6 linked regions of the Cricetulus griseus genome follow. The protein of the gene in region 1 purifies or fractionates together with the protein of each later gene. This does not show direct contact. Links are inferred from orthologs where the notes say so. Each region holds a gene or a part of one and is shown in the gene's direction. Other genes may lie near its edges. The genes, in order: G3bp2, Aurkb, Stau1, Trim25, Caprin1 and Igf2bp3.

What was found.
Region 2: the proteins of G3bp2 (region 1) and Aurkb purify together in Homo sapiens (affinity purification with mass spectrometry; 3 studies listed by BioGRID and IntAct, with this or other methods). This does not show direct contact. The link is inferred for Cricetulus griseus from reciprocal best matches to the Homo sapiens genes G3BP2 and AURKB.
Region 3: the proteins of G3bp2 (region 1) and Stau1 purify together in Homo sapiens (affinity purification with mass spectrometry; 3 studies listed by BioGRID and IntAct, with this or other methods). This does not show direct contact. The link is inferred for Cricetulus griseus from reciprocal best matches to the Homo sapiens genes G3BP2 and STAU1.
Region 4: the proteins of G3bp2 (region 1) and Trim25 purify together in Homo sapiens (affinity purification with mass spectrometry; 4 studies listed by BioGRID and IntAct, counting the BioPlex papers as one, with this or other methods). This does not show direct contact. The link is inferred for Cricetulus griseus from reciprocal best matches to the Homo sapiens genes G3BP2 and TRIM25.
Region 5: the proteins of G3bp2 (region 1) and Caprin1 purify together in Homo sapiens (affinity purification with mass spectrometry; 5 studies listed by BioGRID and IntAct, with this or other methods). This does not show direct contact. The link is inferred for Cricetulus griseus from reciprocal best matches to the Homo sapiens genes G3BP2 and CAPRIN1.
Region 6: the proteins of G3bp2 (region 1) and Igf2bp3 purify together in Homo sapiens (affinity purification with mass spectrometry; 3 studies listed by BioGRID and IntAct, with this or other methods). This does not show direct contact. The link is inferred for Cricetulus griseus from reciprocal best matches to the Homo sapiens genes G3BP2 and IGF2BP3.

The regions. Positions count from the first base shown.
Region 1 is NW_023276807.1:156,813,073-156,816,786, reverse strand, and holds part of G3bp2 (ras GTPase-activating protein-binding protein 2), read left to right. Parts: intron 1-18; coding exon 19-100; intron 101-753; coding exon 754-927; intron 928-1,823; coding exon 1,824-1,914; intron 1,915-2,408; coding exon 2,409-2,511; intron 2,512-3,567; coding exon 3,568-3,714.
Region 2 is NC_048600.1:82,925,041-82,929,007, forward strand, and holds the end of Aurkb (aurora kinase B), read left to right. Parts: coding exon 1-35; coding exon of another isoform or gene 36-48; intron 49-118; coding exon 119-267; intron 268-2,162; coding exon 2,163-2,337; intron 2,338-2,739; coding exon 2,740-2,901; 3' UTR 2,902-3,397; downstream 3,398-3,967. UniProt on the Homo sapiens protein: Serine/threonine-protein kinase component of the chromosomal passenger complex (CPC), a complex that acts as a key regulator of mitosis.
Region 3 is NC_048599.1:12,445,842-12,450,173, forward strand, and holds the start of Stau1 (double-stranded RNA-binding protein Staufen homolog 1), read left to right. Parts: upstream 1-1,407; 5' UTR 1,408-1,646; intron 1,647-4,332. UniProt on the Homo sapiens protein: Binds double-stranded RNA (regardless of the sequence) and tubulin.
Region 4 is NC_048600.1:102,145,979-102,149,692, forward strand, and holds part of Trim25 (E3 ubiquitin/ISG15 ligase TRIM25), read left to right. Parts: intron 1-2,816; coding exon 2,817-3,050; intron 3,051-3,714.
Region 5 is NC_048599.1:73,878,278-73,881,991, forward strand, and holds part of Caprin1 (caprin-1), read left to right. Parts: intron 1-2,213; coding exon 2,214-2,408; intron 2,409-2,927; coding exon 2,928-3,028; intron 3,029-3,370; coding exon 3,371-3,434; intron 3,435-3,714. UniProt on the Homo sapiens protein: mRNA-binding protein that acts as a regulator of mRNAs transport, translation and/or stability, and which is involved in neurogenesis, synaptic plasticity in neurons and cell proliferation and migration in multiple cell types.
Region 6 is NC_048601.1:92,226,992-92,230,705, forward strand, and holds part of Igf2bp3 (insulin-like growth factor 2 mRNA-binding protein 3), read left to right. Parts: intron 1-1,249; coding exon 1,250-1,531; intron 1,532-3,714. UniProt on the Homo sapiens protein: RNA-binding factor that may recruit target transcripts to cytoplasmic protein-RNA complexes (mRNPs). This transcript 'caging' into mRNPs allows mRNA transport and transient storage.

The DNA.
Region 1 (3,714 bases):
CTGTCATTGATTTTACAGGTTTTATGGCAGGAATTCCTCCTATGTCCATGGTGGAGTGGATGCCAGTGGAAAGCCCCAGGAAGCAGTTTATGGCCAAAATGTAAGTCACAAATTAACTCTTTCAAGTGTCTTTGGATTAAGACAGGTTTTAAAAGTAGCCTTTCTGGGCCGGGCATTGGTGGCACACGCCTTTAATCCCAGCACTTGGGAGGCAGAGACAGGTGGATCTCTGAGTTCGAGGCCAGTCTGGTCTCTAGAGCGAGTGCCAGGATAGGCTCCAAAACTACACAGAAAAACCCTGTCTCGAAAAACCAAAACAAACAAACACAAGTAGCCTTTCTGGACTCACTGGGTTTCTCTAGTGTGTGATTCTTTGCTACACAGAGTCAGTTTTAGTAGAAATGTATTATAATGGGATGTATTTAAAAGGAGAACTTCTAATGTTGCTTTTTATACATGAAGTAGTTGAGAAAGTAATTTCTCGAGCTCCAGCAAAGTACAGAATAATCTTTATAGCTTGATGGAAGAGCAGACTTCAGAGATTAGGGGCTTCAGTATAGAGTAAAGATGGCAATTAGCAGGCAGTCTGATTGTAATTCATAGTTTCCTGGATTGGATTCAGATTATTGCCAAAAAGGCCAATAGTTCATTTTTATGGGTCATGAGGAAATAAACAATGTATGTACGTATAACAATGTGTAGTTAGTGTGGTGGCACAAAAATTTTTATTTTCTTCACCTCTTTTCTGTAAAGGATATACACCACAAAGTGTTATCTCTGAACTTCAGTGAGTGTCATACGAAAATTCGTCATGTGGATGCTCACGCAACCTTGAGCGATGGCGTGGTTGTGCAGGTCATGGGTTTGCTGTCTAACAGTGGACAGCCGGAGAGGAAGTTCATGCAAACATTTGTTCTGGCTCCAGAAGTAAGTTCTCATAATTCAGTTTGTATTTATGCGATATGTTTGCTAACAGTTTGTTGGAATGCTAAAGAGTTTCTTCCTATAGTTTTGGGTTTGCTTGTTGCTATTTTTTAATATTTAATAAACTATTTAATATTTTGAATTTTACTTATTTTTATGGGTGTTTTGTCTTTATGTCTGCACCACATGTATGCCTGGTGCCCTTGGAGGCCAAAGAGGGCATAACCCTGGAACTGATGGTTGTCCCATGGTTACTTATCATCGAATTCTGGTCCTCCAGAAGAGCAGAGCTAATGCCCTTAGCCTCTGAACCATCTCTCTAGCCCTTTTAATTTTGGTTCTTATATGTTTGGGTGTTTTACCTGCATGTATGGGTGTGAGTCTGGCCATGGAGGTGGGAAGGGTATCAGATCCTCTGCAACTGTGAAGGTACAGGAAGTCGTGAGCCACCATGCTGGGAATTGAACCTGGGGCTTCAAAAGCAGCCAGTGTTCTTAACCATTGAGCCATCTCTGAGTCAATTTGCCATTGTTTTTGAGAGATTTTTAAAGAGTTTCTTTTTGAGAAGAGTGTTTTGAATTTTAATAATTATTTTTAAGCATTAGCATATACATCATGCTGGGCTTTATTTTGATGTTTCATATGGGTATTATTACTATTACAATTTTTTAAAAAGAGAATCTGTAGCTCAGCTGGCCTGGAACGTGTGGCCCTCCTTTCTCACTCTTCCAAATGGTAGAATCGTCTGTGTTTGCCACCACGCTCATCCAATATTCATTTGGTGGTTTGTTTTGTTTTTCTTTTGTTAACATCTAAACATACTCCGCTCTAGATAATTATATTTAGTTCAGGTTACTTGTGTTGTACTAAAGTTGAGATTACATGTTGTTTTTCTATAGGGGTCTGTCCCAAACAAATTTTATGTTCACAATGATATGTTTCGTTATGAAGATGAAGTATTTGGTGATTCTGAACCAGAACTTGATGAAGGTGAGTTTCCAAGGTGACATGTCTGTATAGATTCCATACTATACTGTAGAGTTTGGTACATACTCTGAAATTGTTTTGGGGACACAGGCACTTTCTTATCAAAATTACCTATGTGGCATGGAGCTTACTCGTCTTCCCTTATTGTCTGTTGCCTGTCCAAGTTGTGGCAGTACTGATCTTCCACTGAAAAAGTACCAGTTTGTTTTCCTTCTTATCAATACTGCTCTTAAATAGAGGTGGCAACAGAAACAAAATGGTTTTTAGCTTCATTGCAAGCTTTTCCTTTCTTTACTAATTGATTTTGTTAAAAGACAGCATAGTAATTAAACTTGGTCCTGTTTGTTCTATTTAGTTTGTGGAGAACAGGGATTATCCCAGTGAATGACTTGCCTTTATCAGTCTTCTGACTTTCTAGCATACACTTAAACATACTGTAGTATGTGAGAGTATATGAGCCCTCTTTTAAAAAGACTTGGTGCGTTGTGTGTTGTCAGAATCAGAAGATGAAGTGGAAGAGGAGCAAGAAGAAAGGCAGCCATCTCCTGAACCTGTTCAAGAGAATGCTAACAGCGCTTACTATGACGCTCTTCCTGTGACGTAAGGCTAGCTAGCAGCTTCCGCCTGTACTTGCACTGAATCCTAGTTGTTTCTAGGATTATTGTTGGAACTTAATGCTTATTCTTTGGTGCTAGGAATTGAACCCCAGACCTTAATGCATGTTAAGTATGCACTTGGCCACCAAACTACACCCTCAGCCCCTGGAAATACATTTTTGTTAAAACTGCATATTTAAGCCAGTATTTGGTTATTTAGAACATAGATCAAGATAATGAAAATTATTCATTCAAAAATTTCCACATGGTTCGTATCAGAGCTGTGGTTGTCTACATACATACTGTTGAGGGACAATACGTTTATTTCTATAAACTTATTTTTATTTGACACATGTCATGTCATGTAGGGGACAAAGAAGTGGCTCACCCAGGAAGTTGCTTACCCTGCAGGCCTGGTGTCCTTAGTTTCATTCCTCTGACCATCATGCATTGTCCCTTCAAACACTAATTAGAAAATTAAGCACAGGATTTTATAATGGCACTAAAATAAGCATTAAAATGATGGGGGTGTGGCTGTAGTGATGGCTCAGCCATTAAGAGCACTGGCTGCTCTTACAGAGGACCTGAGTGTGATGCCCAGCACCCACATGGCAGTCTTTAACCCCAGATGTGGGAATCTGATGCCATCTTCTGGCTTCCAGGAGCATTGTATGTATATGACACACATATACATGTAAGCAAAACACCCTTCTTTAGGTGCAGAATAATAACCATTTTTAACAATTGATGGGGCTGGATGTGGTAATGTACACCTTTAATCCCAGCACTAAAAGGGAGGAGGGAAGTAGGTGGATCTCACTGAGTTTGAGGCCAGCCAAGGATTCATAGTGAAATCCTGTCTCAACCAACAAAACCAAAACCAGCAGAAAGATGGGTTTCAACTGGATGTGAATCTCAGGTAGAGCCATTTTACTAGTATGTGCACAACAGGCAGGACTTGAATCTCGTCACTGACCCTGCATGCACATGAACACAGCTGTTAGTTTGGATCTTTATCTCATTTGATCTCCTGATTGGTGACCTAGATTTTTCATTGTAGTAATGGCATAGAGGAGCCTTTAGAAGAACCCTCTCATGAACCTGAACCCGAGCCTGAGTCTGAAACAAAGGCTGAAGAGCTGAAACCACAGGTGGAGGAGAAAAACTTGGAAGAGCTAGAGGAGAAGTCTACCACCCCTCCTCCCTC
Region 2 (3,967 bases), on another chromosome or scaffold:
AGAACAGAACTTTCGATGAGCAGCGGACAGCCACGGTCAGGATCCGGTGTGGGGCATGAGGCTGTGGCTATTGCTGGAAGTGGAGGCCTGTTTGACCTTCTGCTATGAACTCTCGTAGATCATGGAGGAGCTGTCGGATGCACTGATGTACTGCCACAAGAAGAAGGTGATTCACAGGGACATAAAACCTGAGAACCTGCTGTTAGGTCTCCAGGGCGAACTGAAGATTGCGGACTTTGGCTGGTCTGTGCATGCTCCCTCCCTGAGGTATGGTGGGGCTCGGGGGCTGTCCCTCGTGTGAGGCTGTGATATACAGCTCTTCTGCAAGTTGTTCCTTGAGATGGGGTTTGTCTCCATGCAATATAGATGTAGCAAAGTCTTTACAAAAATAGGTAACACAATAATTCATGCTCTAAATTTTCTACTCTTTCTATGAAATATAGTGGGCCCTCTCTTACCATATCATTGTGGAAACTCCCACATGATTGATTGATTGATTGATTGATTGATTGATTGATTGATTGAAACAGGGTCCTATGTAGCACAGAATGACTTCAAACTCACTATATAGCCAAAGATAACCTTAAATTTCTGATCACCCTCCAAACATAGCTGAGTTACAGGCAAGCATCACCATGTCAAGTTTACCCCTGCCGACCCTGTTCATTCTAAGGAGATACGGCCTCACCGAGTTCCCCGGGCTGTTTTTAAAGGCCCAGGTGCAAATGAGTATCTGGTATCACAGGCATACGCTGACATGCCTGGTTACCAAGGTCACATTTTATTTGATTTGGTTTGGTTTTAGTGTTGAGGATGGAACCCAGGGCATTGCCTATGTTAGGAAAATGCTCTTTCACTGAGCCACATCCCTCAGAACCGCTTCCCAGTTTTTTAACTGTTTGGTTTTTTTTGAGACAGCGTTTCTCTGAGTAGCCCTGGCTATACTGGAACTCACTTTGTAGACCAGGCTGGCGGCCTCAAACTCAAAGAGATCCACCCGCCTCTGCTTCTTCCTGAGTGCTGGGATTAAAGGTGTGCTTACTATTGCTTGGCCTCTTCTTTTTAATAATTTATGTGCATTGGTGTTTTGTCTGCATGCATGTCTGTGTGAGGGTGTCAGATCTTGGAGTTACAGATAATTGTAAGCTGCCATGTGGGTGCTGGGAATTGAACCTTGGTCCTGCAATCAGTGCTCTTAACCACCGACAAATCTCTCCAGACCTCCTCTTCACAGTTTTGTTTGTTTGTTTGTTTGGGCTTTTTTTTTTTTGGTTTTTTGAGACAGGGTTTCTCTGTGTAGCTTTGGAGCCTATCCTGGCACTCAAGCTGGAGACCACGCTGGCCTCGAACTCACAGAGATCCGCCTGCCTCTGCCTCCCAAGTGCTGGGATTAAAGGCATGCACCACCAACGCCCGGCTCTCTTTACAGTTTTTAGACAAGATTTTACCCTGTAGGCCTACCTGGCCTCAGACTGACAATTTACCTCAAATGTCCAATTAAGCCAGAGGTAGTGGCTTATTCCTTTCAGTCCAGCCCTAGTGAGGCAATGGAAGGTGGATCTCTCTGAGGTTAAGTCCAGTCTGGTCTACTTAGTGAGTTCCAGGCCAGCCAAGGCTGTATTATAGAGAGAACCTGTATCAATATTAACAAAACAAAAATCTTGCCAAGGATTGGGATTAGAGGTGTATATCACAGTATCTGGTGACCTGATCATTGTTTAACACTTCTTGGTATTGCACAGTAAAAATATAAACCGACTTATTTAAGTAGTGTATATTCGGTGGATATTAGAGATGTTTTCTGTTTCTTCTTTGAAATGAGCATTGCCCTCATCTCTGATTGTTTTTATTTATTTTTTACTTATTGAGATTAAGATAGCTGGGCGGTGGTGATGCACACCTTTAGTCCCAGCACTTGGGAGGCAGAGGCAGGCAGATCTCTGAGTTTGAGGCCAGCCTGATCTACAGAGTTAGTTCCAGGACAGTCTCCAGGACAGTCTCCAAAGCTATACACAAAGAAACTCTGTCTCAAAAAAACAAAAAATTAAGATAATCCATTAGTGTGGCCAGACCTTCCTGGGATCTCTGAGCTGCCTACTATCAAGTAAAGAGAAAAGAGAGGCTGATTTTTTCGAGGCCCTACCCACTTCTCATCCCATCAGGAGGAAGACCATGTGTGGCACCCTGGACTATCTGCCCCCAGAGATGATTGAGGGGCGCATGCATAACGAAATGGTAGACCTGTGGTGCATCGGGGTGCTCTGCTATGAACTGATGGTGGGGAACCCACCCTTTGAGAGCCCTAGCCACAGTGAGACATACCGTCGGATTGTCAAGGTAGGATACCTGCCTGGGCTCTGTGTGCTGTGGAAGCCAGGGTCTGGGGTGGGCAGGGTAGATTTATAGGGCTCTGCACAGTCTCCCTATTTCATGAGCAGTACTTATTCTCTGACAACTTCATACAAATGCACCTTGATCACCCACCCCGACTCCTTTCCCAACACATGCCCCACCCACCGTCATGTCCTTTTTCTTTTTATAGCCCCCTGAGACCAGCTAGTGCTGCCAGCAACCTACCTGTACCCACACTCCCAAAGGAAAATGACTTCCTTTCTTTCCCTCAGCAGCCATCCATTGTTAATAATGCCTCCTTTGGGGGTTGCAAAAATCTCTTGAGTTGTCAAGGAAAATGTAGTCAGGGTAACACAGGTGAAACCTTTCTCTTTTCTTCCTCTGCAGGTGGACCTGAAGTTCCCTCCTTCTGTACCTGAGGGGGCCCAGGACCTCATCTCCAAGCTGCTCAAGCATAAACCCTCAGATCGGCTGCCCCTGGCCCAGGTCGCAGCTCACCCTTGGGTGCGGGCCCACTCTAGGAGGGTACTGTCTCCCTCTGCCCTTTAGACTGCTTTCTTCATTTTTGTCTCTGTTGTTTGTATATTTGTGTATGTGTTGGGGGGAGGGAGGGTTGCTCACAACCATCCCCAAATCCCGTTCTAAGGAATCTGACCTGTCTTCTGACCTCCACAGGCAAAACCATGCACACATGTGGTGCACATATGTGCAGACAAAACATATATAAAACAACAACAAAAAAAACACAGTACTGGAGAGATGGCTGAGCAGGGCTGTTTTTCCAGAGAACCAGGAGTTCAGTTCACAGTATACCACATGGTGCTTACAACCATCCGTAGCACTAGGCATGGATGTGGCACACATATACACAGTCAGAATTTTAAGGAGCCATAGAGTCTGATTTCTTTCAATTTGCCAAATGTTTTAAAATACCGTAAGTCAAAAATGCATTAATCCGTGAAACATGTTTAGTCTAGCCTATCTTAAAATTCAGAAAAATTATGTAGCACAAAGTATATTTTATAATAAAGTCTTAAATATTTCATGTTTTTGAATACTGTTTTGAGAGTAAAAAGTAGTGGTTATACTTTGGTAACATTATGAAGCCAAAAACCCCAAGTTAGCTTGGCATGTTGGTCCATGCACTCAGGGGGCTGAGTCAGGAGAATCACCATAAGTCTGGGACATCTTGGACTACAAATCACGTTCCAGGACACACAGTGATGCAAGTAAAACCTTTGCCTGCTCATGGGACTCTCTTCCTCCTGTTGGGCTGCTGTGTCCAACTTAAATTTGAAAGTTTTGCATAAGGGGACAGAGGAAGCTAGGGAGGAGTGGGGTGAATAGAACAAAGCATTATGGGGCTGGACTCAGCACTTAAGAACTCAGATTTGGTTCCAAAGAACTCAGGTTAGGCAAATTCACAACCATGGGATCTGACCTTTTTGTGGCTGTACACATGCACATGAATTTAAAAAAGTGTAATGGTATACATGTTTGAAAATGCCACAATTAAGTCTATTTCTTTATTATATTCTAATAAATTGTAATTTTAAGAAAATCCACAATTTGGTCAAAGTCCTCAGGAGCCAGTCACTTGCCCCAAACCCATCAG
Region 3 (4,332 bases), on another chromosome or scaffold:
TGCTCAATCTTTTTTTTTTTTTTTTTTTTTTTTTTGCTTTTCTGAGATTGGGTTTCTCTGTGTAAGTGCTCTGGCCGTTCTGAAACTCTCTCTGCAGACCAGCTGGTCTTGAACTCACAGAGATCCACCTGCCTCTGCCTCCACTGGCATTAAAGGTGTGCGCCACTGCCACTGCCACCACTTGGCTGTAGTCTCTTTTTCTTCCTTCCTTTCTTTTCTTTCTTTTTTCTCTTTTCCCTTCCTTCCTTCCTTTCTTTTTTTTCTTTCGTTTTTTGAGGCAGGGTTTCTCTGTGGCTTTGGAGGCTATTCTGCAACTAGCTCTCGTAGACCAAGCTGGTCTCCAACTCACGGAGACCCACCTGCCTCTGCCTCCCGAGTGTTGGTATTAAAGGCTTGCGCCACCAATGCCTGGCCTCTTCCTTCCCTTCCCTTTCCTTCCTTCCTTCCTTCCTTCCTTCCTTCCTTCCTTCTTTCCTTCCTTCCTTCCTTTCTTTTTGAGACATAGTTTCTCTGTGTTACAGCTCTGGCTGCCCTTGAACTCACTTTGTAGACAAGGCTGGCCTCGAACTCATAGAGATCCTGTCCAGCCTCCCAAGTGCTGGAGTTTGAGGTGTTAGTCACGAAGTCCAGCTTTTTCTATTGCTTTCTAAAGAGGGCTTTCTTCCATGATATCTCCTTCTAACATTTAGAGGTAGTCCAGTGTAACAATTTTCCAGCCAATTTGGGAATGGCTTATCTGAACTCTGAAGTGCTTTTCAATCTTGCTTTCCTCATATAGCACATACTTCAAGTGATCTAAACACACATACACATACACAATTTAAAAAATTAAAACAAGAAAATCTAAGAAGTCAGCTTAAAAAACTATGTGATGAGTGGGTGATGGAGCTCACTGGTAGAAGTGGTTTATAGTTCAATTCCCAGGACTGCATCAAACAAGCCCACACCAGCCTCTTGTCCACAGAAGCACACTCTGCTTAGAGGGGTGTGAGAGCAGCCAGAAAACACTTGTGCTTGTTTGTTTCAGGCTCATACTTCGCACTAGAATGTAAACGTCATGAGGGCAAGGACATGTGCATCCCAGCCGCTTTCTCAGCTTCTGACCTAGCACAGGGCAGCAGGTTAACAAATGCTGACATAGAGAAGGAGTGACTGCGCAGAAGCAAGCATAAACCCGAGAAAGAAAGGAAGACAGGCCTGCTTTCTCGGCCCAGCTTGAGCTCCCGCGAAACTACAACTCCCAGCATGCCCCGACACAACAGAACCTGTCCGGCCCCTGACGCCCTAGCGTGTCTAGAGGGCGCAGGCAGGCTGCGGCGCCCGCCGGGACTTGTGGTCCCAGCCGCGGTGGGGGGGGCCGGCATGGAGGCGGGCGGGGGCCGGGGCGGGCGCGGCCCCTCCCCCGTCACTTCCTGCCGGGCTGCGGGCGCCGGAGCCGCTCTTCAGCGTTTGCGCTGGCGGCCGTCGCGCCTGTGTCGTCTGCCCCTTTTTCTGTCCCCCCGGCCCGGCGGCGCCCGCCTCCTCCGCGGCCACACCGCCTCTTCCCTCCCCGGTCCCTTCGCCTTCGCCCTCCTCCCTTGCTCCTTCCCGTCCTCGCCGCCGCCCAGGACCGCCGGCCCGTGGACGAGCTCCGGGGAAGCAGGCAGGTGAGGCGGCCGGGCCCGGGCCTCGGTGGGGCCCTCGTAGGCACGGCGGCAGCGGGAGGTGGGCGGCGGGTGGGCTAGGCCTCGCGGGCGCGCGAGCTGCGGCCCAGGCCCGTCCCCGCCCGGGGCCCTTCCCGGAGGAGGCGGGCCCTCCGCGCCGCTCGTGGGCTCGGTGCCCGAGTGAGACGCGGGGCGCGGGCAGGGGCCGGGCCGGTCGGGAGCCCCCCGGGTCTCGGCGCTGTGCACAGTGCTGCAGCCACTGCCGAGCCGCGGGACGGGGTGCCAATTCCCGGCTCTGCCCCTTCGCGAGCCACTTCACACTCTTTGTGTCTCTGTTGTGAGGGGACGGGAGGGGGGTAGAAGGCTAATCCTGTCCCAGCCCTGTCCCTGCCTCTTCCGACTGTGAAGGTGCAGTGAATTGGGGGCGTGTAAAGCGCTTATCAGCGTGCCAGACCCATGTCGTGTCCCAATAAACGGTTTGCATAATTTATTAGCGTGATATGAAGGTATAATTTAGGGTGCAGACTGGACAGAAGTTGACCTACCTTCCCATTTCGCTTTCCTCCGAGGCAGAAGAACCCGCGTGCCCACTCCCAGCGCCTGGGCATTGTGCTTGCTTAGCATCGGAAAGGGGCGCGCGCTTAATGGGGACACTTGCAGGCACATCTGGATGTAAAGACGTAGCCATCCTTTCTGTAGAAGCAGCTGCGGGGAACCCACCGCTCCCCCAGGCTCAGCAACCTGTCCCATGTTTCCCTGCCACCATCCATCCAGAACCTTGTTGTCATTCTTTTTTCTGGGAAAGTTGCTGGCACAGGCTCCCCTCCTGTGTGTCAGGCTCTGGAGGTGCAGTGTGCAGATGTGAAACCCTGCTTTCCGGGTCCGCATCTGCAGATCTTCACTTTCTTTGGTTGAATTTGTCTTTCACTCTAAGGTCCCAGTTAGCAGTTTCCCCAAACCCTGAGCACAACTCCCTTTCTGTGGCAGTATTGCTGGTGTAGAAACTTTATTTTGTTTTGCCCTTCGTGATGTGGGGGCCTTCTTTAGGGTCACTCTTTTCATCTGCTTGTGGCTGTAATTCTTGAGATGGTGCTAGAAGAGATTTAAACTAGGATTTTGGCCTTTTAGGCATCTGTGCTTATCACATGTAAATTACGTCGCTACTTGTTGAAGTAAAAACTAAAAAATACAGTTGGTGAGTGTGGAAGGGGCAGTCTGAACCATTCTGGTGAGCTTTTAGAAGAGCTTCTTTTTTAGTCTGACTCAGCCTTTCTCTCTCAAGATTAAGTTCTTTTTTTGAGTGTTACACCAGCGGCAGCTGTTGGGGAAGTGGAAAGACAACTTTTGGGATTCAAAGGTTTTGGGATTCAAAGGTTATCAGGCTCCTTGCTGCAACTGCTTCACTTGCTGAGCCCATCTCAAAGTGTCCGTATTTGTTTTAAGTATGTGCTTAATGACATAGACATCCCCTTCCTTAAAGACATGCAAACTCATTCGCAAGAATAATATGGTGTGTTTGCTGTGCCCAACGACTCTTCTATGCCTTAGGATTACTCTGTGTGTGGGGGGGGGAGGGGGAGACAGTTCATATATGCATGCCCTTGTGTGCCTGTGGAGGCCAGAGGTCAACCTCTGTCTTGCTCTTCCTTAATGGCTCTCTGCCTTATTTTGTGAGACAGTCTCTAAGCATGACCTACCCATTTCTTCAGCCCACAATCACCAGATTGTTTTGGGCAGTGAATTTCCTTAGTAAGTGGCGAATGTTTATATCACACCCATCTCAATAATGCAAGGCATTACTGTTTTTGATATCTTCCAAAAATTTGTAACTGTCAGGAAATATTGTGTATTGTGTATTGTTGAATGTAATGGCTTTTTAACAGCTCTCAAACAAACGATTCTGTAAGTATCACCAAGCATATTCTGTGTCACATCGAAAATTATTTCAGGGAAGTGATATTTTAATGCTGTGGTAGAGAACTTGAAGTTATTTTTTTAGCCTTTTTTTTTTTTTTTTTTTTTTCAGTATCTCTAGTTTAGGCTGACCTTGAACTCCTATCAGTCCTCCTGTCTCACCCACTGAGGTGCAGAGATTACAGGTGTGAGCTGTCATGCTTGGCTTCTGAAGTTATTTTTAAGTATGAAAGTTAAACACTATAGAGGGCACTGTGTATTGGTCGCCCGGCTTTGGCAATTATTAACTCCTAGCTAAGGTCAGTCTTGTTTCTACTTGAACTCCCTCCTTTAAGCTAGCTTATTTTTTTGGTTTTTTGTTTGTTTGTTTTTTTGACACAGGGTTTCTCTGTAGCTTTGGAGCCTGTCCTGGAACTCTATCACTAGACCAGGCTGGCCTCACAGAGATCTTCCTGCCTCTGCTGGGATCAAAGGCATATGCCACCACCACCTGGCTCTAATCTAGCTTGTTTTGAAACAACCCCCAAACTTATCATAATCTTAGTCATTTTGACTTTAACTAGATCACCTCAGGCTGACTGACAGTTTTTGTTTTTTGTTTTTTGTTTGGGGGGGAGTCTGGCTTCTTTGTTGAGATATGATTAATACAAAGCAGGAAAACAGCTGCAGAGTTAACGGATTCCCCTCCTCAAGGTAGAGCCCAGGTTTCAGTCTTTCTCCTTATGAACCGAGTCAGTTATTCCTGAGCTATTAATGACTAGTTGAAAAATGGAGC
Region 4 (3,714 bases), on another chromosome or scaffold:
CAGTGTTCTTAACCACTGAGCCTTCTCTATGGTACCATATTACCTTTATATTGAAAGAAAGGAGCTGGAATTTTAAGAATACCATTGCTGAGATGCAGCAACTGTGCCTTCATTGATGGCTTCAGTTGTGTTGGTGGAGATGCAAGTTTCAACCCCCCCTACTCCCCCCCCCCCCGCCCGCCCCGAAACACACGCAAAGCAACCACAACTCCTCTGAGAAGATAGTGAGACCTACAGGGTGAAGGTAGAATTATGAATATTGGTTGGTTGGAGGGCAGGCTAACCTCCTAGGATTAGGATCCATTTAAATGCAAATCAATAAGGTGGTTCATTTTGTTCAGTTTAACAACCTAAGTCCACACAAGAGCAACTCTTGACCCTTAGCATGGCTTTGCTCCAAATGAACATTCCTACTGTCCCACTACTCCACAGTTTGATGCTCTCATGCCTTTGATTGAAGCTGGATTTTTTTTTTTAAGCCAAAGGCTATTATAGAAACTGGCTGTCAAGGCAGAAGGTACTGAAGAACAAAGATGCTGGCAGATCCAGGATTGCACAGGCTGTAATATATTAAGGATTTATTGGCAGAAGGATATGTTAAGTAGTAGCAAAACAAGAGGATCCCCCCGATCCCTGTGTCACAAGGCAGGAGGGAAGGGGTTTTTTTTTTGTGCTAAGATAGGCAAAGGTGGCCCATGGCCAACTGGAATGTACCTAGATTTTCTAAAATAATAATAATAACAACTATTAACATGTCATGTAGGGTTTGGGATTTGTGTTAGGGTCATATAGCAGTTACCACCAAGATGGCAGAATTCAGCCCAAACTGGGTCCTTACTCTGGGTCACCTTTACCTGTTTGCTCTAGCCTGGGAAAAGGGAAGCAAGATGGAAGATACCAACAACAAGCAACTTCCTCTTAAGCAATCAATGTGGTGTTGCACATACTACTTCTAGCCTTGCCTCACGGGAGGCAATTTAGCCACTTAGCCACCCTGGCTAAGCCCATTTGCAGGGTAGTCTGGGAAATGTAGTCTGAGAAGCTGTATACCCACTTGACACTCCTGGGGTGTTCTCTTACTAAAGAGCAAAAGAGGAAATGAACACTGAAGGACACTGGTGTTCACAGAGGAGGTAGTGGGAAGGGCTGGATGAGAGGCTCAGTGAAATGGCTCAGTGGGTAAAGGGGCTTGCTGCACAAGCCTGACAACCTGAGTTTGATCCCCAAGACCAGAGGAAGAGGAGAACCAACTCCTGAAAGTTGCCCTCTGACCTCCTGGGGGGAGTGTGCACACAACAACAAAATAATAGTGATTAATAATAAATGTAACAGTTTTTTAAAAGTTGAATTCCACTCTTTTGGTGTACAGTATTTGTGTTTGTCATGTTTGATTCTAAACTATTGAGGTTAACCAAGAAGTTTGTTCAAAACTACAACCTTTGAAGCAACACTGTCTACCAGAAACATTCCAGACATCTCTGATTTTCTTGTTTTGTTTTTATTTATTTATTTTTTCTGTGACAGGATTTCTCTGTGGCTTTGGAGGCTGTCCTGGAACTAGCTCTATAGACCAGGTTGGCCTCAAACTCACAGAGATCCACCTGCCTCTGCCTCCCAAGTGCTGGGATTAAAGGGGATACCACTGCTGTCTGGTATCAAGTCTTTGACATCCAGTGTCTACTAAGAGTCATGATAGATCTTTTCTTGAATTTGGCACATTTCAAATGCGCAGCAGCCACGTGGAACACTCAAAAAGAGAGTTCTAGGGAATAATCCTCTTCCGGAAGTTTTTGAAATTGTTTCATGCCTTCTTTTAAAAATTTACTAGGGGCCAGGCAGTGGTGGTGCATGCCTTTAATTCCAGCACTCAGGAGGCAGAGGCAGGTGGCTGTCTGTGAGTTACAGGCCAGCCAGGGCTACCCAGAGAAAGCCTGTCTTGAAAAATAAAATGTTATGTTAACGTCTGCAGTGTATCCCTCCCCGTTCCTAATTTATCATATTTATTCCCTAATCATTTATACCCTAAACACAAGCTCATTCATTCCCGTGTGTTTACATATTTATGCCTTTTTGTTTGTGCATGCATTCCTTGGTAGCAAACACCGCCATTCCCTCAGTGTCTAAGCTTTGTGTGAAAAGAATCACATAGCTTATGTGTTTTCCCTTGTGAGCTGGATCCACATGTACCTCCAGTTTATCGTTTAATGTCTCATCCTAGGATGGTTCTCAGTCTTTGCATCAAGTCTCTCCTGTACTTAGCTTCCCCACCCCCAGATAGCTCAAGTGTCCCTCCTGCCTCAGTCTCCAGAGGAACTGGAATAATAAATCTGTGCCACTGTGACCAGCTCACTTTTTGCTGTTTCAAACAATGATGCTTGTGAACAGTTGTCTCCCCCTCATCTCCCACCCCAGTTTGGAGACAAGGGTCACACATAACCCAAGCTGGCCTCAAGTATGCTATGAAGCCAAGGATGACCTTGAACTCTTGGTCCTCCTATCTCAGCCTCCCAAGTGTTGGGATTACAGTTGTGAGTCACCATACCTGGCTGTGCTTGTTAACATTCTTTTTGTTGTTTTGTTTGTTTGTTGAGAGTGGGTTTCTCTTTGTAGCCCTGGCTGTCCTGGAACTCACTCTGTAGACCAGGCTGGCCTTGAACTCAGAGATCTGCCTGCCTCTGCCTCCAGAGGCATGGCTGCCTAGAATGGTGCCATGAAGTGTCATACAGTTCCTGGTGCTCCCCTCTCTCCGACACACAGGAATGCGGCCTTAGCATTTTCACCCATCTGACAGGAGCCCCTTCATTTTTGCCTTGTAGGACTCTATGAACAGGAAAAAGGAACAACTGAGGCAAGAATATATGGAAATGAAGGCTATCCTTGATTCAGCGGAGACCAACTTGATGCGTAAGCTGAAGGAGGAGGAGAAGCGGATCCACGGAAAGCTGGACAGCATCTACCAGGTTCTTGCCAAGAAGAAGAGTGAGATGCAGAACCTGAAGGCGGAGGTTGAGCTCACCCTGTCCAAAGGGGACGAGTTTGAGTTTCTGGAGGTGAGTCGTGACGAGGGTGCTGCTGTGTGTGTGAATATCTCAGCGTTGATAGTAGTTTGGACCTCACAGAGTTGGGGCTGGAAGTGTCCCGGAGACACGCTGTATTTCTATGCTCTGCGATAGCTTACCTAAATTTGGGGCTTTGGAGAACATCTGATTATTGTCCCACAGTTCCCTTAGCTCAGTATCTGGGTGTGGCTCCCTGTTGTTGACAAGGCATCAATGGTCTAGCTTCAGGCTGGGCTGTTTTCCAAGCATACCTGACTACAGGCAGAGTTTAAGTTCCTTGGGGCTATAGATCAAGTGTACACTTTCTTACTGGCTGGCTGATGAGGCCTTCTTTCAACTTGGCATCATATGCTTCCTCAAGCCAGCAGGAACATTTCTCCCTCTATCTAGGAAGGCCCGCTTTCCTCTATTGAGGTCTTTTACCCAGTTAAGTATCCTGTCTGCCCCTCCCCCGGCAGGATAATCGCCCTCTTGATTAATTCTTTTATCTGGTTTGATGTCTTCCTTACTCCTGCGGTGTACCTCCTCTGTTCCTTGTAAGTTTGTTGTGCAGTAACAGCCTATCCCACCCGCCCTGTTGTGCTCAAGGAGATAGTTACGGAGGGTGTGTATAAGAGGAGAATCGTGGTACCAACTCAGTTTGTCACTCACTGCA
Region 5 (3,714 bases), on another chromosome or scaffold:
TTAGTACCAAAAGAAGACCAAGCTACACAATTGTAACATATATGCAAAAAGCCTAGGTTAGTCCCCTGCAGGCTCCAAGGCTCCATGGTTGGTGGTTCGGTTTATGTGGATCCCTATGAACCTAGGTTAGTTGGTTATGTGGATTTTTTGTTGTTTTTTCCTTCGAGACAGGGTTTTCTGTGTAGCTCTGGCTGTCCTGGAACTCACTCTGCAAACTGGGAAAGATCAGCCTGCCTCTGCCTCCCAAGTGCTGGGATTAAAGGTGTGTGCCATCACTGCCTGGCAGTTCTGTGGATTTTCTTTTGGTGCCCTTGACCCTATATCCTACAGTCCTTCCTACTATAGACCTTCCTCCCCCTCTTCTACATGATTCCCTGAACTACTAGTGTTTGGCTGTAGGTCTCTTGCTGGGTGAAACCTCTGATAACAGTGTATAGCAGAATATCATTTTACATGTCTAGTTGTTTGCCTGCATGTTTGTGCACCATGTGCTTTCCCAGTTGCTGGAGGAGGCCAGAGAAGGCTTTGGATTCTTGGAATCACAGATAGTTGTGTCTCTGTATGGGTGTTGGCAATTGACTCAGGTCCCCTGGAAGAATAGCCAGTGCTCTTAACTCCTGAGCCGTGTCTGGAGAACCTTAAGATAATTCTTAATGATAAAACATGGTTTGATAGCTGGGCAATGGTGACGCACACCTTAACATAGAGAGTCAGATCTCTGTCAGTTCAAGGCCAGTTTGGTCTGCAGAGCGAGTTGTGGGACAACTAGGACTGTTAAACAGAGAAACTCTGTTTCGGTTTTTCGACAGGGTTTCTCTGTGTAGCTTTGTAGACCAGGCTGGCCTTGAACTCAAAGAGATCCTTCTGCCTCTGCCTCCCGAGTGCTGGGATTAAAGTAGTGTACCACTACCACCGGGTGAGACCCTGTCTTGAAAACCAAAGGGTGTTTGATTTGATGGTAGGTGTGATGGTGTATACTTGTAATCCAGTCCTTGAGAAACTGAGACAGAAGAGTCTGAGTTCAAGGACAGCATAGGCTGTGTAGTGAGATTTGTCTCAAGACAACAGCAAAAATATGATTTGAAAATTCATTATTTTTACTGTTACTCAAATGCATACTAATGAACCTTCTAGATTGTAATTTGCATTTGGCATTTGCTTAATTTTTATGTTGAATATAATCAAGCATAATCTGTATAGAAAGATTATATCACTGTAATATATAGTGCAGCTAAGTAGCTTGAAAGGAACCATAACCCTTTATTCTTCTCTGCATAGGCATTTTGTGGCTTTTTTCATGCTAGAGAAAAAACACTATCTATAATTTCTTGGAGTGGGTGGGAGGATATATGAGTTAAATTTCCAGGAATTGGTGGTGTTCCAGGTACATTATTTCTAGTTCGAGAGCCATTTTGGTTGTTAGTTTCCTCAACTTCCAAAGGTACTTAGGATTTTTTTTTCCTCTCCTTTTTCCTTGAGTGAATTATATACACTCAAATAATAATCAGATAATATACATCAATATTTAATGTTTGACTTATTTTGTGTAACTCCTCAATGTGGAGGTGTGTCCGAAGGGGTGGGTGGGTGTAAAGTCATATATTCACCCTTCCAGTATTCACCCTTCCAATAAGGCTGTATACCAGAGTGAATACCACTTAGCTCTATCTGTCATTTTAGATGGACACCAAAGGATGTAAGTTGAAAATCTAATGTTTCAATTACAGTTGATGACATTTTTTTGTATGGCTACTTAACTATGAGTATGGTTTTGTGTGTTTCACTAAGTGCCAAGGGAAATAAGTGTATTATTAAGGAGCTTTATAATGAAAAAATTGACATATATATATATATATATATGCTATTTCATCATTAATTTTCTCACTTATGGAGTCTACTCTTGCTAAAAGGTCAGTTACTTTCAGAAGGTGTTGGAAATATAGAGCCCTTTCCAATTTTATGTGTGGAAGAATAGTATTGGAAACTCTGCTTTCCAAGGTCTAGAATTACTATTGGGGAAATGCCCTCTTTAGCTTAATCTTACAGGTAGGAGGGAAGAAATAGGGTCTTTTTAGTGTTACAGGTTTTTATTAATGGATTTATTTGAATAATTGAACTTTGAGAATAGAGTGTAGAATATTTTATATAATTCAGAAAGTATGTGGGAGAAAGAACAGTAATGAACTCTGTTTATGTATATTTTCCTTTAACAGTGGTTGGCACTTACCATGGTTCCCAGGACCAGACCCATCAAGTGCCTGGAAACCACCAGCAACCCCCTCAGCAGAACACTGGGTTTCCACGCAGCAGTCAGCCTTATTACAACAGTCGTGGTGTGTCCCGAGGAGGGTCTCGTGGTGCCAGAGGCTTGATGAATGGATACAGGGGCCCTGCCAATGGATTTAGAGGTAAACAAATAAATGAAGCAACTTCTAATTACTTTGTGCAGTTTCAAGTCTTTAATGATTTGTAAAGTAAGTAGAGACATGTTTCATGATTTTTGGGAAAGAGTTGCCTCTGTGTTAGTCCCTTAATGCATAATTTAAAACATTTGAAGTGTGTTATATGTGTGTGGCCTCAAACCCAGATCTCCCTGACTCTGTCTCTTGAGTGCTGGGGTTAAAGGCATGTGCCAGCATGCCTGGCTTATTTTGTCCAGTTTTTTAAATGACAAAAATTGGGAGATAAACACTGAGTTGTCACACAGGTGTTTGTTTATAGGTTTGTCTCCATTACCAGTTTGTTTAGGTGTGTGTGTTCATTCCTAGGTGGACAAAACGTGGTACTTAGATATTGATAAACAGATGGAATCAACACAGGGAATTCAAAATTATTTTAAGTAGTGTGGCTTATTTTTTTACACTTCCCTTTAAGAAAGCAGAATCCTTGTAAGGAAAAGTAAATTGTTTCCTTGTCTTAAATTCTAGGAGGATATGATGGTTACCGCCCTTCATTCTCAAACACTCCAAACAGTGGCTATACACAGTCTCAGTTCAGTGCTCCCCGGGACTATTCTGGCTACCAGCGGGTATGTAAACATGGTGGATCTTGGTAACTAAGTGATTTGGGCTTAGTTTGTGGTGTCCAATATACTTTGTTACAAAAGTGATAGCTGTGGGGCTTTTTTGTTTGTTGTTTTCTTTTTTTACAAACATTACCTATAACCACTTGATGTAGATTGCTAAAAGGGTTTTCAAAGCAACTATATGTAAATATTTGAGTTTAAAGGAAGCATAGTAAGAACAGTAACTTAGCTGTAATACATTGATGTCTAGAAGGAGTTAGATATTTGGCTAGTGTTGAGCTATGAGACTAGGTATAGGTATACAAAATCAGTTTCCTTTTCAATACTAACTAGCTTGTCTTTTAGGATGGATATCAGCAGAATTTCAAGCGAGGCTCTGGGCAGAGTGGACCACGGGGAGCCCCACGAGGTAATATTTTGTGGTGGTGATCCTAGCTCCTATGTGGAGCTTCTGTTCTGGCCTTGGAAGAGCTGTTCATAGTCTGCATGTAGGTTATATGTTAGGAGTGCATTTATCCTTTCCCGACTTGTTGCTAAAGATTAAATGAAATGCTCTGTTTCTAAAATTTCATCTTGAGTCCAAATTTTAATTTTTGAATGACTTTCCCTGTTACTGTCTTGAAAATCAGAACATTTCTCTGCCTCAGAAAAGTGTTTTCCAACTGGAAATTTATTTTTCAGGTCTTAAA
Region 6 (3,714 bases), on another chromosome or scaffold:
GAGGCAGGGCCCTCACAGGGTTTCTGGAGCGGATGCGGATGGCTCAGCAGGTAAAGGTCCATGCCTTCTTACAGTGCAGCCTGACAGCCTGTGTTTGGTTCTTGGAACCTACATAAAGGTGGAGAGAGAGAGAGAGAGCTGACTCCAAAGTCCCCTGACCTCCACATGTGCCCCAAGCATCCCCACCAGTAAGAAATTTCATTTTAAAAATCTGGATGTGTGCAATGCCATATAAATGTATTAATGTTACAGTAAAGTTGAAAAGGTGGGCGAAGGCTCAGGCCCTCCCCAAGCAGATACAAAGTGCAGTCAGTGTGTGGATAGAACAGCTTCCTTGCCTCCTCCCTCCTTCTCTTCCCTTTGTTCATCTTCTTGAGATCAAAACCCTACCCAGATGAGGGAATTGCAGTTATTTTCTGGTTGTGGCTCATCCTGAAATCTTACCAGTGTAAGACCAGTGTCCTGTAGTTGGTAGGGCTGTTTGCTCACCGATTCTTCAACCCCTTTAGAGCTGTGCGCTCCTTCCCTTGGTATATTTCCAAGCCATTACTAACTTTTTTTTTCCTTAAGTTTACCATGGTTGTTGCAAATATTTTTAATAGCATGTATTAATTACACAAAAGCAATAGACTTTATTATTACATTTTTGTGAATGTTTGTATTAGAACTCTAGAGAAACAGAACTGATAGAATGAGTATATATTCTACGGCTGTTTGTTAGACTGTCTCACACCATGAGTCAAGCAGTTCAACAGTGATTCTTGATTGAACTGAATCAAGAATTTAACTTGGGGCTGGAGAGATAGCTCATTGGTTAAGAGCACTGACTGCTCTTTCAGAGGACATGGGTTCAATTCCCAGCACCCACATGGCAGTTCACAACTGTCTGCAGCTACAGTTCCAGGGGAATCTGGCACCCGCACACAGAGCTACACTGTAGGCAAAACACCAATTCACCTAAAATAAAATTGTTTTAAAAAAAGAATTTAACTTGATTTTTGTTTCTGTCTCTCACTGGTAGATGGAAATTATTTGCCTTGGAAGCCGTTGGCCTTCCCTAAGTGCAGACTTCATAGAGGAGTGTGGTGGTGGTGGTGGTGGTGGTGGTGGTGGTGGTAGGGTTTGTCCGGAACAGCAGCTTTCGTCGCCGATAGCTCTGGGAGGAAGAGATGGGTGGCCGCTGTGGACAAGGTTACCATGCCACCGCTCCCGCTCCACCCACCACCCACTGTCTCTTGTGAATTTTCAGAGCCTTAGACAAACTGAATGGATTCCAGTTAGAGAACTTCACCTTGAAGGTCGCCTACATCCCCGATGAAACGGCTGCCCAGCAAAATCCCTCCCTGCAGCTCCGAGGACGCCGGGGTCCAGGACAGCGGGGCTCGTCCAGGCAGGCATCTCCAGGGTCAGTGTCCAAGCAGAAGCCCTGCGACCTGCCTCTGCGCCTGCTGGTCCCCACGCAGTTTGTTGGAGCCATTATAGGGAAGGAAGGTGCCACCATTCGGAACATCACCAAGCAGACCCAGTCCAAGTGAGTATGTGGGAATGGTGGCCACGCTGCTGTTGTCTTCCTCCCTCTGTGTTTAGTGTCAGGGTGTGATGTGTGGGAACTTGGTGTCCTTCTGAAGAGAGTTGGGGGCTCTCCTTTACAGTGCTGGGGAATGCGGCAGGGGAAGCCTTGTGACGTGATCACGCCTGGCTGGCAGTATAAAACCTCACATGAATGGAAAACAAACAGTACTTGATGTCACCGTGATGGGAAAGGCAGTGGACAGGTCATTCTCCCGCCCCCAGCCAGCCTACAGAGTCCCCGTTTTGTCTTGGCATCAGTGTGAAGATGGCATTTTTATCATGTGTTCACTTCAGTGGAGACTAATAGTCCACCCCCGGGTGGTGTGGTGGTACACACCTGTCTCAGGAGGGAGGGGCAGGAGTTCCTGGGCATTCTTAGCTCTGTAGTGAGTTTGAAGATAGCTCATCCTGAAAGCAATTACCAGGCAGGACTGCCACCAGCATTCCATCCCTGCATCCCACAATAGAAGGAGAAAACAGGCTCCTGAAAGTTGTCTTATGACTTATCAAAAATGTTTTAAATTAAATTATATTTATTAATGTGTGCGTCTGTGTGTGCACTCGCCATCTTTCCAGTCCCTCTGACTTCTTTACTCAGGCACGCATATATCCATACTCACATCACTCACATAAGAATTAATACTAAGTAAAATTTTAAAAAAATAAGTAAAATTAAAAAAAAAATTCATCCTCTGGTTTAAGTTTGTCCTGAAGTTAGAATGGCTCTCCCTTCCTTTCTGCCCTCCCCCCCTCCCTTCTTTTATTTTCATTTGATGTCATTACTAATAGAATGGCTTTTTCTTGAGGATGTTTAATAATGCTGTTTGGCAGGCTTTAAGGGATTGGAAAATCCTGATCAAACATCAGAGCTCACTTTGCTGGAGTCAGGCGGGAACCATTGTCATTTATCACCACAGCCCTGGTGTGTAGGGTCACTGCCTGATGCACAGGAAGCCCGTGCATTGCCTAAGGGCACAATGATGACTTATGAAGTTGCTGGGAGAAGAGGTTGTATGCAAAACAGTGTCTTTCTGCAGAGTGACCCAGCTGTAGAAATGACTGGATGGTTTTACTTTTTACATTTAGTAAGAATGAAGATTTCATGAGATTAGAGAAACTGAGTTTTGTTTGTTTGTTTTTTGTTTTTTCTGGAAATGGTGCCATAGAGCTGTGTATCCTTTGTGGCTAGATGTGTTCCGTGGCCTCTGAGGCATCCATGCTCTTTGATGCACCTTGCCTGCAGTTAACTGGGAGACTTCGTTTCATTCAGAACCTAAAAGAATTGTATGGTAGTGACGGTTGTAAGTTCATCCAGCCCTGCTGGGACACCCTACCCTGCTCACACCTGCTTTGGTTGTGAGCCTAGCCTTTAACGGCTGAGCCATCTCTCCAGCCCCTCACACCTGCTTTGAAGCAAGAGACACTGAGTGCTGGGTGCCTGTGTGCAACATTAATGATTCCAAATACATAATTAGTGGGTGGGGAGAACAATTGAACCATTATCTATGTTGATGTTTCTTAAATTTTACTTGTGACCCCTTTTTACCTGAGAAATTTTACACGTGACAGAAAATGCTCTGTAAGGTTCAAGTCAAGCATAATCTAAAAAATCTTTTAAAATAATTCTTGGTATTCATGTAATTTTGCAGTTGATTAAAGTTGAAAACTGATTTGGTAGTAATGAGATAGGTGCCTTCTTTGTTGCCATATAAAGAATTAAATCTTGGCTAAGTAGCTGACACCTGGGGACACGGAGCATCTTCAGGTTGCGCAGAGTGGATCAATGCTTTGGTTCTTTGCATGGTGTTGCACGCACTGCTGCTTCACGTAAATATGTAGAACAAAACAGTACGAATATGTTTAGGCCCTGCTGTACGTTGTTGGAAATTCTGTCTGAATCCTAAGCCAAAATTATTTAATGATTAACTTTTTAAAAATGAAACTCAAATCAGCAACTCAAACACCAATTTCTAAAATCAAATATTCCTGCACAGTTCCTTCCATTCAGAGATGCCAGTGTGATGTGTGTTGAGGAATGATGGTGGGAAAATGTTAGGTCTGTTGTTCTCTATCTTGTTTCACTAAGAACAGAAAGCTTTGGGCGTACAGTTAAAACACTGCTCTTCACATAATCTTGAATGT